Linked DNA regions of Mytilus edulis. The protein of the gene in region 2 interacts with the protein of the main gene of each other region in a pairwise test. Links are inferred from orthologs where the notes say so. Each region holds a gene or a part of one and is shown on either strand. Other genes may lie near its edges.

What was found. The genes of interacting proteins can lie anywhere in the genome.
Region 1: the proteins of protein trachealess-like (region 2) and aryl hydrocarbon receptor nuclear translocator homolog interact in a two-hybrid assay, tested with the Drosophila melanogaster proteins (3 studies listed by BioGRID). The link is inferred for Mytilus edulis from reciprocal best matches to the Drosophila melanogaster genes trh and tgo.

Annotation. Positions count from the first base shown.
Region 1 is NC_092347.1:3,963,988-3,971,270, forward strand, and holds the start of aryl hydrocarbon receptor nuclear translocator homolog, read right to left. Parts: upstream 3,054-7,283; 5' UTR 2,974-3,053; coding exon 2,856-2,973; intron 1-2,855. UniProt on the Drosophila melanogaster protein: Heterodimers of tgo/trh are involved in the control of breathless expression. Plays a role in the cellular or tissue response to oxygen deprivation.
Region 2 is NC_092346.1:74,486,497-74,493,650, reverse strand, and holds the start of protein trachealess-like, read right to left. Parts: upstream 3,060-7,154; 5' UTR 2,701-3,059; coding exon 2,609-2,700; intron 1-2,608. UniProt on the Drosophila melanogaster protein: Transcription factor, master regulator of tracheal cell fates in the embryo, necessary for the development of the salivary gland duct, Malpighian tubules and the posterior spiracles.

The DNA of each region.
Region 1 (7,283 bases), on a different chromosome or scaffold from region 2:
TTAGTTTATATCTTTGTCATTCTTTTCAAACACAATAATGACTTACTATAGTACGAGTCACTGAATAAGAAGGTCTAATGTTGACAAGGAAACTTCTATCATAAATAGATTTTATAAATAAATAGTTCAAAACATTGTTTTGTAAGTCTATAATTTATAGCTCCGTTTTCCAACAACAAGTTAGTGCATAATTGTAATTTGGATCTTTTTTTCTAAAGCAATTACTTATCTGCTACCATTAAAGGGAAATAATTTACATTACTGAAAATCAGCAAAATTTTGTGACAATTTTTGTCTGACAAATATCAACTTTCCTCATTTAATTTGTTTGTAACATTATTTTTATGATTATTAAACATTTATCCTCTATTTTGAAAAGAACAATGAAATTTATTTTTAAGATGATTAAAATTTTGAAAAAAAAAATGTTAAAAACCTATTATTGAACACATTCAAAATTCTATAAATCATACAAATTCCCCCGTAAATTATCACCAGTCTAGTAGTCAGTAAGGATTAGGGGCAATAAGGCCCTTATTTGGCCCAAAAATTACTGCAAATTTAAAAGTTATCATACATATTTTAAAATTACTGAAAAGTATCTCAGGTAGAAGGTATTCAGAAAAACAAAATAATTTTGGACATTAAACAAGTTACCATGGCAACAAATCATGCCTTAATTTGCATATTTTGTAAAATTTTGTGATTTTCCTTGTTTTCATCAAATTGTTAAGTATATTTTCGATTGGAAAAGTATGTGCGCACCCAAGAAACAACTTTATATTTGGTGAGATTTTGTCAATAGTAATGATAAAGCTTCAGTTAAATTATTTTGTTGTTTCTTGGCTGCGCACGATGTTTTCACAACAGAAATAAAGATAGAAAACTGCATAAATTCTTAATTTTCATCGTTTTTGTGAAAACAGTATATATTATGACGTAATTGTGACGTCATCACATAAGAATCTTAATGTTTTTCATTTATATTTCTTGACCCTATGCATTTCTAAAGATTATGTTTGAAAAAGTTATCAAACATTTTATTTTCTTGGGCCAAAACCAGGCCTTAATGCCCCTACTCCTTTAATTTTGACATGAGTTTTTATGATATGGTAAAATTATAGATTAACAGCTGTTTTGCAAGACTTTGCATTGTTCAAAGTACTAAGGATTCTCTACCATGGAGCACAAGATAACTTATAAGCAGTATTTGGCAAAACCTTTGTAATTTATGTCCGAAATGCCCTTCAACTTCCTCCTAATTTGGCATTTCAATTTTTTTTTATTCAAGACGTATTGAGGATTTTTTTGTAGGCAAAAGCATAAGCCTGGTATCATTGATTATTTTTTTAGTGAACAATAACTCAATAAAAATTATTTCCCTTTAATGCCAGCAGATCAGTAATTTGTATAGAAAATATTATAAGAAACATAATTACACAATAACTTTGTCTTAGAAGACAAAGCTATAAAATATATATCTACAAAACAATGGTTTGAATTATTTATTTATGAAATCTATTTAATATGCTAGAAGTTTTCATCTCAAAATTATACCTTTTTATTCAGTGACTCATACTATAGTAAGTCATTTTTTTGTTTGAAAAGAATGGCAAAGATATCAACTAACTCGATCTTGATGGTAAGTATTACTTTTGTTGCTATTGTGATACCCCAAAGGTCACTGAATAACCACTGTAATATATTTTAACCAGATGCTCAGCAGGGTGCAGCTTTATATGACCGCAGAGGTCAAACCCTTGGGCAAGTATGGACACAACATTTATGCTTGATACAGCTCTGAATTTGGATTGTGATTAAAAAGTTGATCAAAAATCTAAGAACATGTTTAGATTCAGCATATCAAAGAACCCCAAGAATTCAATTTTTGTTAAAATCAAACTAAGTTTAATCTTAGACCCTTTGGACCTTAATATAGACCAATTTGAAAACAGTACCAAAAATTAAGAATCTCAATACACAGATAGATTTAGCATATCAAAGAACCCAAATAATTCATTTTTTGATGAAATCAAACAAAGTTTAATTTTGGACCCTTTTGGCCCCTAATTCATTGGGACCAAAACTTTCAAAATCAATCCAAACCTTCCTTTTGTGGTCATAAACCTTGTGTTAAAATTTCATAGATTGATATTAACTTATACTAAAGTGCTAAAAACAAATGTCTTCGGATGCCGACAACAACGACGCCAATGTAATACCCTTTTTGAGTTTGTATAAAAATATAGATTTATACACGAAAATTAGTACATGTATTAATGACAATGAATTAATCCAGTCATGATTCATTTCATGACAGGTAATAATAAAATATCTGCTAGAGCAGGAAATTATTTTTTTTAGTCACCAATTATGCTAGTCTTTTCCAATACACAACAACTATTCTTTCTTTAGTTTTAAATTTTCCATGGTGCTCTTTTTCAATAAAAGAATTGGAAAATTAACTCTTAATAAATTTCAATGAAACATAAATTCATGAACAAAAGAAAAATAAAAGCCATCTAGTTTCTTATGAATCACTCTTATATATTTAAAAAAAAATGATGATGTGGTATGATTGCCAATGAGACAACTCTCCACAAGAGACAAAATGACACAGAAATTAACACTTATAGGTCACCGTAAAGCCTTCAACAATGAGCAAAGCCAAACTGATAGTCAGCTATAAAAGGCAATGTAAAACAAGACAAACAGGAAAACTAACCGCCTTATTTTACATATATTCCAGCATCTCGGTCTATAACCATAAAAACAAAGCTGTTAATGTCAATCTTTCTGACGGCTCATTATAGAGAAAATATTGAAAAAGACAATATAAAAAATCTTTTACAAACCATAAAAAACTCTTCCATAAGACGGATGGGTAGGAGGTCCATATTGCTGAGGCAAGTACATCTGAGAATTTTGAGATGTCTGTTCGTAACCTGGGTAACTTCCTCTTGAATAATCCATCTTGTTTTCATCAATTTTTATTTCTAATTAAATGCAAAATCTAACGCAAAGTCTTTTGACGTTTGCATAAATATGTGGATTAAGCTTAGGTGTTTTTAGGATTGAAACACATAATCTGTATCAGATTAATATCGAGTTACAGATAATCTAAATTAAGCTTCCATGTTGTCATTTATTGCTATATTTTGTCTTTCATAGATTATTTTCAAATTGAACTTAAATTGTACATAATTTCATGTAATACTAATCATATAAAAATTAAGAATAAAATCGAAAGTATTGATTATGTAAACATCATATTTGCTCCATTCTCATATATGTACACATTTTTTTAATTCCCTCTGGGACTGTCAATATATAAAAAATCTCTTTCTGTACAGCCTACACAATTATAATGAAATGATTTTCTGGAATTAGACACATCATGATCTTTGCCAATTGAAATGTGAAAATCCACAAAATTTCAAACTAAGGTGTTAAGATTCATTTATAATCCTTTCTACATGTGAACACACTACAAATATAATAATGCCAAAAGGAGGAATTTTTAACAACTGTATGCACTTCTCCTTACAATTTACGTTTGTAACATATTTCATGATGTACATTTAACTTTGCTACAAGATTTTTTTACCTTGTCGTGTGCAGTAAATGGCATAAATGTCAGGGAAATTTACTCATGTCATGTCAAATGTTTAATTAATGGGTCAAGTTCATTGAAATAATTAAATCTTCATTTCATTAGAACAAACATATTCAATTTCCAAAAGCGTGTTACATGTATATAATTTATCTAATTTGTATTACATAACCTTGGAAATGTAAATGATTTTTTTTTTTATTATTCAACCAATGGCATTATTTGATAGCCAACATTTGAAACAGTAATGCAGATTTGGATAAGCCATTTTAGCTGGTGCAAATGCTTCTAAGAAAAATAACTTTAGATTACTTTAAATGGAGGAAATGCATGAAATCAGCATGTTAATTTTGACTACTCTATTTCCAAATTAACTATGACAACAGAGACATTGGTAAGTAAATAATTAGTCGAAGTTTTCTTCATGAACACTTTTTTTCTAATATTTTTAGCAAAGAAATAGAATGTATGGTCATTATTTATGCAAACAAATATTTGTAAAGGTTTCCAGAAACCCAAAAATCTAGCAGCAAACTAAAGTCATATTATATATATATATAGAGAGAGAACGAAAACCAATACTGGGATGTTCAAACAGACAAGGGTAAAATTGAAGTCCCTACACTACAGTGCAGGCATAAATACAGCCTGGGACAAAATATGTGGATATTTTAAATTAAAGAGCTTTTGTGAGCATGCTCATATACACTTTCCCCACATTGTCACTGGCAAACAAAATCTCATCAGATTAATCATTTCCAAGTTCAAGACTTGTAACTTCTAAAAAAGTCAACTGATAAAAGATTTATTGTAAATATGCACACCTATATATAATGTCCTCATTAACTACAAAGTGTGGACGTCGAGGAGTGATGAAGACAAACTGTTGCAGTTGTATATTTCAGCCCACTTTCTAAGTTCAAAGGAGTATAACATCTTGAGAAAAAAATCAATCCTAATTTCACGTCAATAGGCACATCTACATTGCATCTCTTTATTTTCCACAAAGATTCATGAAATTCTGTTGTGTGGTTTCAAAGGAGATACCATGACAAGTTGCAGTAGTATGTAGACAAAAAAAAATAAGTTCAAAGGGGTATAACTCCTAGAAAAAAAATAATGTCATGTCAATATGCAAACCTACATAGTAATTATGTATTCTCTACTTAATTTTTGTCATGTAATTTCAGAGGAACTACAATTACAAACTAACATACGATCAATTTTACCTGAAAATTTCAAGATTAAATTGATTACTTCATTACTTTTGATGTTTGTTTGACTGTCAATAAGTTGTTTAAAGAAATAAGTCACTGACAATTGTAAAAATATCAAAAATCAAAGAACTACAAGATGACATTAATACTTATAGGTAATCATCAAATTATTGGATAGGATTAAAAAATAGAAACAAATTGTCTGTAAAAACAACAGTATTTCATATTTCTAACAAACAAAAATAAGCCTCAACACCAACATCAACACAATACATTTTGTTATATAAATTTTGGAAAATTTATGGAACAGCGACTTAGGGATATGATCTTTAATTAAAAAAAACTGTGTACTATAAACAATACATAATATGTTTTTTATAACACTCAGCAAGATTATTGATTAGTAGGCATTGGTGATACTTTATGATCTATCATATTTATATAACACCTATCCACGACAAACACATTGATAATTAATGGTAGGTAATGGACATCTATATATATGTATGTAACTTACATACAGATAGATGTTGGACATCTATATATATGTAACTTACATACAGGTAGATATTGGACATCTATATATATGTAACTTACATACAGGTAGATATTGGACATCTATATATATATATATGTAACTTACATACAGATAGATATTGGACATCTATATATATATATAACTTACATACAGATAGATATTGGACATCTATAAATATATATGTAACTTACATACAGATAGATATTGGACATCTATTAGATGTCCAATTCTATATATATATATATATATATATATGTAACTTACATACAGGTAGATATTGGACATCTATATATATATATGTAACTTACATACAGATAGATATTGGACATCTATATATATATGTAACTTACATATAGATAGATATTGGACATCTATATATATGTATATATTATAAGATATTATAATGCTATTATAAGTTATAAGTTATAAAAGAATGAGAATTTGTTTAAGTAGGGAGGAATAGTACAAAATCTTATTTCAGACCATGCAAATGTTTTAATCAATTTACTAGTAAGAGATTATGATCAGTCTCTCCTTACATCAAAATAGTAAGTGAGGCTGCGTCTCAGGGTGTATGAATTTTCAACAACGGTGTAAAATTTTGTACACCCCTGATTACATCAAGATAACTAATGGCCAAGTTGGGATACAAAAATTAACAGATCTGACATAAATGTGCAAGGAATTGAGAAAAATTAAAGTGAAACAAATCACTGTTGGAAAGATGAGAAGAGTTGTATTCATAATTCTAAAATCAGCTGTTGGTGTCCCATTCATAATCTCAAATCAGCTGTTGGTGTCCCATTCATTAAAACATGGTGGGGAACAAAGTAGAAATATATAGCAATATTTTCTGCAGAATAAATTAGCTCAACACATTTGTCTATGTACAGACATGTCGGTCAATAAATTGGCAAAACAATTACTAATATATTGCAATTTGATATTGTACTCATCATGTTCACAGTTTCAAATTTCAAGCTTTAACTTTACATTTTATCAACCAAAGAAATAACAACAAAAAATAACTCTGGGAACCAAAATATAAAATGACCAAATAAAATCTTAGATATTTGTCTCTTAAAACTTACCTGTAAATGGCTGTTTTGGCCTCATTTCTATGTTCAAACATATACATGTACATGTATGGATACTATAACGGTAATTCTCAATCCTCTAATAATTAAGGCTTGCTTATTGATTTTAGATACATGTAATATTATAGGGTTACCTAGGTGAATTTTCATTTCCATAAATGATAATATCATCATGAAATTTATATTCTGCCATATTCTGGTCAATCTGGTGTCCTAAGATAAAGAAGTTTTCATTTTTGAGGCTTTTTTAAAATACATTTTTGTATTTCAATCATAGAAGAAGAGAGGCGTTTTTGAAGGATGTTGTATATTAAAAGCATGTTAAGTGTTATGATCTTTCATTGGATTTTTATTGCAAATTTTCCAGAAAGGGGCAATGCAAATGCACTGTTTCAATCAATACCTAATGATTATAAAATCAACTTACATTACAAATAACATAAACCTGCCAGACTTGCATTTTTGTTATTATCCAGATTTTATAAATGTCTTTTCTTTGAAACAAATACATCATTTTTTTACATCATATATTCTGAGGGAAGTAATAGGTATATAATCAAATCTGCCATTTCTATACATTCCTATACTTCCTTATACATGTTATAATAAGCTTAACAGCTTATGGCCGATTGAGTACCTACTAATGAAGGGAAGCAATCCCGTCATCAGTCTGCACCTTTAGCAACAAGCCTGATGCTCAAGACTAGTAATATTTCACACAAACTAGTAAGTTTATAAACACTTTGTTTAGACACAGAAGAACAAGAATGTGTCCATAGTAAATAAATGCTTCATTCGCAAAATCATTTTCTATGTCC
Region 2 (7,154 bases):
CATGTCTATTTCTATGAAAGCATACAACGAATGAATTTTAAAATATCTTAATATTTTTAAATCTTCTGCTTTCAAATTTTTAGAGTTGAACGCTTCTAGTGGTGTAATTCCAGAGAAGTAAAAAACAAATCACTGACATAATACTTTAATTTTTCTGTCTGTATACCTTGGTGGTTGTTTCATTTTCTTCTATTTTCTATAATATTTTTTTGGGGTTAAATTAACGACAACTGTTATCTTTGTTTCATTCTGTTTATTAAGATAGCTTTACAAGGGAGTGACTGAATCATCATTTAATTACAAAATCTTTAAATCCAGATCGCATATGTATAATATATTATTTTTAGGCAATACATGTTAGAATAAAATCAATAATAATTAAAAAAAAAAATGTTTAACGATCAAAAATGAAAATGAATTTAAAAAAAACTCTTGAAATTCATTTTTTCTACACAAAATTCACATTCTAATTCATTTAAGCATGCAAACTAGAAAGGGAAGAAAAAGAGGACAGTTCAAATCCGTCCAAGAACGTTATGCAACTCCGTTGCGGAAGGACAAAACAATACACAGAAAACCATATATATAGTATATATAGATTTAAAACAAATCCCATTCAATTCCCTGGAGTAAAGTAATGTGTTGAGATGGCTCAGATGAGACATAGATGTAATACATCTATGGATGAGATAAGTAGTTTTTGTTCTCCTTGTGGTACCACTCATGCAACACGCCAGCAGATGTCACAACGGATACAACCTATACCTTCTTAACCAACTAAAGAGTTCAATTTCTTGTAGTGTTTCTATATATGTTTTTAAGAAAGTAAGGGTAGGAAGGAACCCCCCCTCCCCAATTGGATGTCACCAATATAACAGCTAAAACCTTCTCGAAGTATTCGTTTTGATGAGATATAAAACATAATTTCTCCAACTGTCAAAATTATTCTGAAAACAAGCAGGGTTTTTCATATGCCTCTAAAATAACATTTTTCCAAATGGCCATGCACTTCGCCATTTCATTTAGCTTTATTAAAGTTTATATGGTTTATAATAAATGCTTTGTCAATAACTTATAGAAACTGCAGATTAAATACATAAAAAAACAGTGAACCACAATCTTTGTAGTAAAATGTACAAAATGCCAACACATAGAAATTAGAATACTAGGAATTAAATTGAGGCTGAAACTTTTACATGTAAAATACGGTTCGTTTGTTTTTAATGTTAATGTAAGGCGGTTCAACCCCCAAAAATTGTTATATCTAATATATACGTTGTATTTGTCTCATTAAAAATAAATTTGACTTAAAGATGAATGATATTACACATACAGGACACATGAATAATTAGGGAGGATATCTTTGTGGGATTATTGTTTAATCTTTGAGGTTAAATTGGAATTTGTTTTATTTACATTTTTTAAACGAGAAAATTTCTTTTAACATGCATCTGTCACAAAACGATGCATAGTTCACCAACACCACTGAAAGGCATTAATGTATGTAATGAAGAATGTGTTTAATTCATTAATCATTAAGTTACATATCAGATTTTTGTATATTATTTAGAAATTAATAAAAAATAAAATCTGAAATCAGTGCTTGATCCTGATTTTTTTTTAAACAAATCGGTACTGCCATTTTGTCAATCAATAAAAGCAAATAAATGAACAGTTTTATTTTCTACTAAAATGCTTTTGATACTCATGAAATAAATACATAAAATCTCAGTTAAAAATTGAAGTGTCCGTATAATTCTATATCAAATGGAGAAAAGTTAGGTTAAAACCAAGATAACGTGACTATATAGGTTAAAACTTAAGTCAGTTGTAAAAGATATATTCCAGTTTTTAGGATAGAAGTAAGGGGTATTTTATAGTAATTTATGTAATTTTGTAATTCAATTCGAATAAAAACACATAAACGAAATATTTGATTTCTGTTTGCACATATATGCTTCGTCTTAAGTTCAGTAAAAGGTTGTTTGATATTTCTTTTTCTTTCAAATTAACACTTTTATTTTTTGTTCTTTTCGGAATTACAATCGTTTTAAATAACTGGGGGAAAAAATTGACGACAATGTAACTAATGTCTTTGCGATTATTAATTAGTTAAGGTTAAAAATTTATTGTACTTTCAGTTTTATTAAGACAGTTTTCTATGTAACGGTGCATGAAAGTCTCCTTATTTTTATTCGTAAAAATATAATTTACTATCGGAGTTTGATTTTTCAATTTTCTAGAGTAAAATTACGCTGGGCTTAACATACATAAAATATATTAATGTATAATTGATATTCTAATTGTCCAGTTGCGTATATGTGAAACTTGAAAATCAAATTTGAATTTAGCCATAAATGTTGATAGCATATGAAATTTGAATTGGATATTTTCTGACGTTGATGATTTAATTTACAACTGTATTCGCTAATTAATACTTTTTATCGAACATGAATGCAATTATGCAGGTTTCGTACACTATGTTTATTTTTATTTTTATTTTCATTTTTTCATTATTTGTATTGCTTTCTCATAAAATATTCAAAAACACATATTTGATATTTTCTCTTAATATAAATGATATATTTTTTTTTATCGCTAAGCTTACCTGAAATCAAGAAGGGATGCCCCCATGCCAAAGGCTTGACCCTGAAGAGGCTGGCGTACCAAATCCCATTGAAAAAATGATTGTTCATTCATGGTGAAAATTTTCCGTTCAACCGTGCATACTACAAGAAAACAGGTAGCATTTTGTAACACACGGTATAAAGTAAACCCATCGATGAAAAAAGAGTAATAAACTACTTATTAAAACAGTTCTAATGTTTTACAAGTTTCCTTAGTCATGCGCACTGTCAAGGTTTTGGTCGACTTTCCGTCATTGTCTAAGACAAGTCTTGCAAAAGTAGAAGTATTTTGATTAACATTGATTGATTGAACAATTCTAATTGGGCAAAGCAAATCCAAAACAGCCAGTAGAAAATTTCTGCAAATTATCAAGAACTGATAATTTATACAAACTAATGCATTGATATTTTGTATACATTTATTATTACTGCATTAACAAAAAAAACAGAATTATGTATATATTTCAGCATGATAAGTGAAATTTTAAAATATCCACTGACGCATTTGAAGTCAAACAATAGCCAAATATAGGAATTCAATGCACTTCAAAACTTTTAAATTAAATTACTACGCTAAACCGAGCATGATGCGATTTTTAGTTTCATAATTTATGTATGTTCAATATATAAAGATAATTCAATCAAAGATAGCCTAATGCGCATTTTCAGACCGAGCGATTTACGTAAAACACTTTGTAGGGTTTCTTTTCTGTTTGTTATGTAATATTGTCAGTAGGTTTTCTTATGCTAAATAACTTATTAATTTAAATGGAGGATAGAAATAAGAAAATAAATCTCCTGAACTAATATCGCAACTCCGCTAACATTTTATTATAATTTTATTTGAATATCCATATAAATGAAAAACTGAATCTTGTATAAATCGTATTACTTAAACTTTCATCAATTAAAATACATTCAAATGTCATTTCAACAGTTTGGAAGGAATCAAGTACAAAGATTTAAAAGTGAGTTTTTGTTATAACTTTGAATAAAATTAATATACTCCTTTGAAAAAATTTGAATGTAAGACCCCTCTGCGTTGTGTTTATCTAAATTTGTTGCCGTCACAGCAGTGAGAGTTGTTTTAAATACGAAATTATATATAATAAGAGAATTTCCGGAAGCCGAAGGAGATTTAGAATTTAACACGAATGATATAATTCATTCCAATCAGTTTAATCTGAGAACAACTTATTCATAAAATTGAGAATGGAAATGGGGAATGTCCCAAAGAGACAACAACCCGACCATAGAAAAAAAAAACAACAGCAGAAGGTCACCAACAGGTCTTCAATATAGCGAAAAATTCCCGCACCCGGAGGCGTCCTTCAGCTGGCCCCTAAACAAATATATACTAGTTCAGTGATAATGAACGCCACACTAATCATAGCTACATAGAAAAGTACTTTTTAATTTTAAATCCTATTCCATTGAAAGTTGTCTGTGGCAGCTCAAAATGAATCAACGCGGACACAAATTTGGGCCACGTCAAAATTATTTACCCCATTATCGTGTATAGTTTAGTCGTTTTATGTTTGGAGATTCGTAAATGCACGATATGTGGAATTTCTATGAAATTTCCATCTGTATTACACTTTCATCATATTGGTTCTAGATTTTATTACACATGGGGACATTTAAAAAAGTCTTGCAATTGTGGTCAGAATTGACGAAAACGCGGTAGTTTCATGCAATTTTCTTGGTACTACTATTACAACAGTCTCAGATCATAACGCAGTAGTTTCATCTGAGATTCTTGGTACTAGTATTACAATAGTTTCAGTTCATAACGCGGTAGTTTCATGTGAAGTTCTTGGTACTACTATTACAGTAGTCCCAGATCATAACGCGATAGTTTCATGTGAGGTTATTGGTACAACTATTACAATAGTCTCAAACTATAACGCGATAGTTTCATGTGATTTTCTTGATACCACTATTACAGAAGTCTCAGATCATAACGCGGTAGTTTTGTGTGAGGTATTTGGTACTTCTATTACAGTAGTCTCAGATCATAACGCAGTAGTTTCATGTGAGGTTCTTCGTACTTCAGTAGTCTTAGATCATAACGCGGTAGTTTCATGTGAAGTTCTTGTTACTACTATTACAGTTGTCTCTTCATGTGAGGTTCTTCAGTGGTACTACTATTACAGTAGTCTTAGATCATAACGCGGGAATTTATGTGACGTTTTTGGTACTAACTATTACGTGGGGGGATAAGGGGGGATACATTTTTTTGTTAACCTGTTTTGGCCTTTTTCAAGGTGTTGTTAACTGTTATCTAAAATAAATTTAGACTGTTAATTGTTTTCAACCTACTGTGTTAACTGTTATCAGTATTTCTGCATTTGTAGTTGACTGTTTTTTTCCAAAATCGAGGTGTTGTTAACATGCTATTGTCCCCCTCTATATTACAGTTGGCTCAGATCATAACGCGGTAGTTTCATGTGAGGTTTTGATTCTACTATTACAGTAGTCGCAGTTTATAACGCAAAGTTTCATGTGAGGTGTTTGGTACTCACTATTACAGTTTTTTCTGATCATTACACGGTAGTTTCATCTTAGGTGTTTGGTTCTCACTATTACAGTTTTCTCAGATCATAACACGGTAGTTTCATGTTAGGTGTTTGGTACTCACTATTACAGTTTTCTCTTATCATAACATGGTCGTTTCATGAGACGTTCTTTGTACTACTGCCAAAGTTGTTATAGATCATAACACGATAGTTTCATTTGAGGTGCTTGGTATTACTATGACAGTTGTCTCAGATCATGATGCGGTAGTTCCATGTAAGGTTTTTGATTCTACTATTACAGTAGTCTAAATTCAGAACGCAGTAGTTTCATATGAGGTTTTTGGTACTACTATAACAGTAGTCTTAGATCACAACGCGGTAGTTTCATGTGAGATGATGGGTACTAGTATTATAGTAGTCTCACGTCATAACGCATAAGTTTCATGTGAGGTTTTTGGTACTACCATTACAGTAGTCTCAGATCATAATGCGGTAGTTTCATGTGAAATTATTGGTACTAATATTACAGTAGTCTAAGATCATAACGGAATAGTTTCATACGAGGTGGCTGGTACTACTATTACTGCAGTCTCCGATAACGCGGTATTTTCATGTGAGGTTTTTGGTACTACTATTACAGTAGTCTCAGATCATAATGCGGCATTTTCATGTGAGGTGCTTAGTATTACTATTACAGTAGTCTCAGATCATAACGGGATAGTTCTATGTGAGGTGCTTGGTACTATTATTACAACAGTTTGAGATCATAACGTGGTAGTTTCATGTGAGGTGCCTGGTATTACTATCACAATAGTCTCACATCATAACGGGATAGTTTCGTTTGAGGTGCTTGGACTACTATTACAGTAGTCTCAGATAACGAGGTAGCTTCATGTGAAGTGCTTGGTATTACTATGACAGTTATTTCAGATCATAACGTGGTAGTTTCATGTGAGGCGCTTGGTACTACTATTACAGTTGTCTCAGATCATAAGGCGGTAGTTTCTGTGAGGTGCTTAGTATTACTATGACAACAGTCTCAGATCATAGCGAGGTAGTTTCATGTGAGGTGTTTGGTACTACTAGTACAGCTGTCTCACATCACAACGTGATACTTTCATGTGATGTACTTGGTACTATTATAACAGCAGTCCAAGATCGTAACGTGGTAGTTTCATGTGAGGTGCTTTGTATTACTATTACAGTAGTCTCAGATCATAACGGGGTAGTTTCGTATGATTTGCTCAGTACTACTATTACAGTAGTCTCAGATAATGCGGTAGTTTCATGTGAGGTGCTAGGTATAACTATGAAAGTAATCTCAGATGATAACGTGGTAGTTTCATGTGAGGAGCTTGGCACTACTATTACAGTTGTCTCAGATCATAGGGCGATAGTTTTATCCGAGGTGCTTGGTATAATTATAACAGTAGTCTCAGATAACGCGGTAGTTTCGAGTGAGGTGCTTGGTATTACTATTACAGTAGTCTCAGATCATAACACAGTAGTTTCATGTGAGGTGCTTGGTACTACTATGCAGTAGTCTCACATCATAGCGGGATAGTTTCATATGAGGTTCTTGGTACTACTTTAACAGTAGTCTTAGATTATAATGCGGAAGTTTTCTGTGAGGTGTTTGGTACAACTACCAAAATAGTCTCAGGTCATAACGTCAGTTGCGGATCCAGAGGGGGGTTCCGGGGGTTGGAACCCCCCCCCTTTTTTTTGGCCGATCAATGCATTTGAATGGGGACATATAGTTGGAACCCCCCCTTTATCCTGGGTTGGGAACCCCCCTTTTTAAAATGGCTTGATCCGCCCCTGAACGTGGTAGTTTCATGTGAGGTGCTTGGTACTATTATTACAGCAGTCTAAGATCATAACGTGGTAGGTTTTTGAATCTATAAGCAGATTCTCAGTGATAACTTCACAGGTGTTGGTCGGTCAAGATAGAAGAGAAATCATAGGGTTTCCAGTACGGTTGGTAGATACAATGTTGAATATTAAA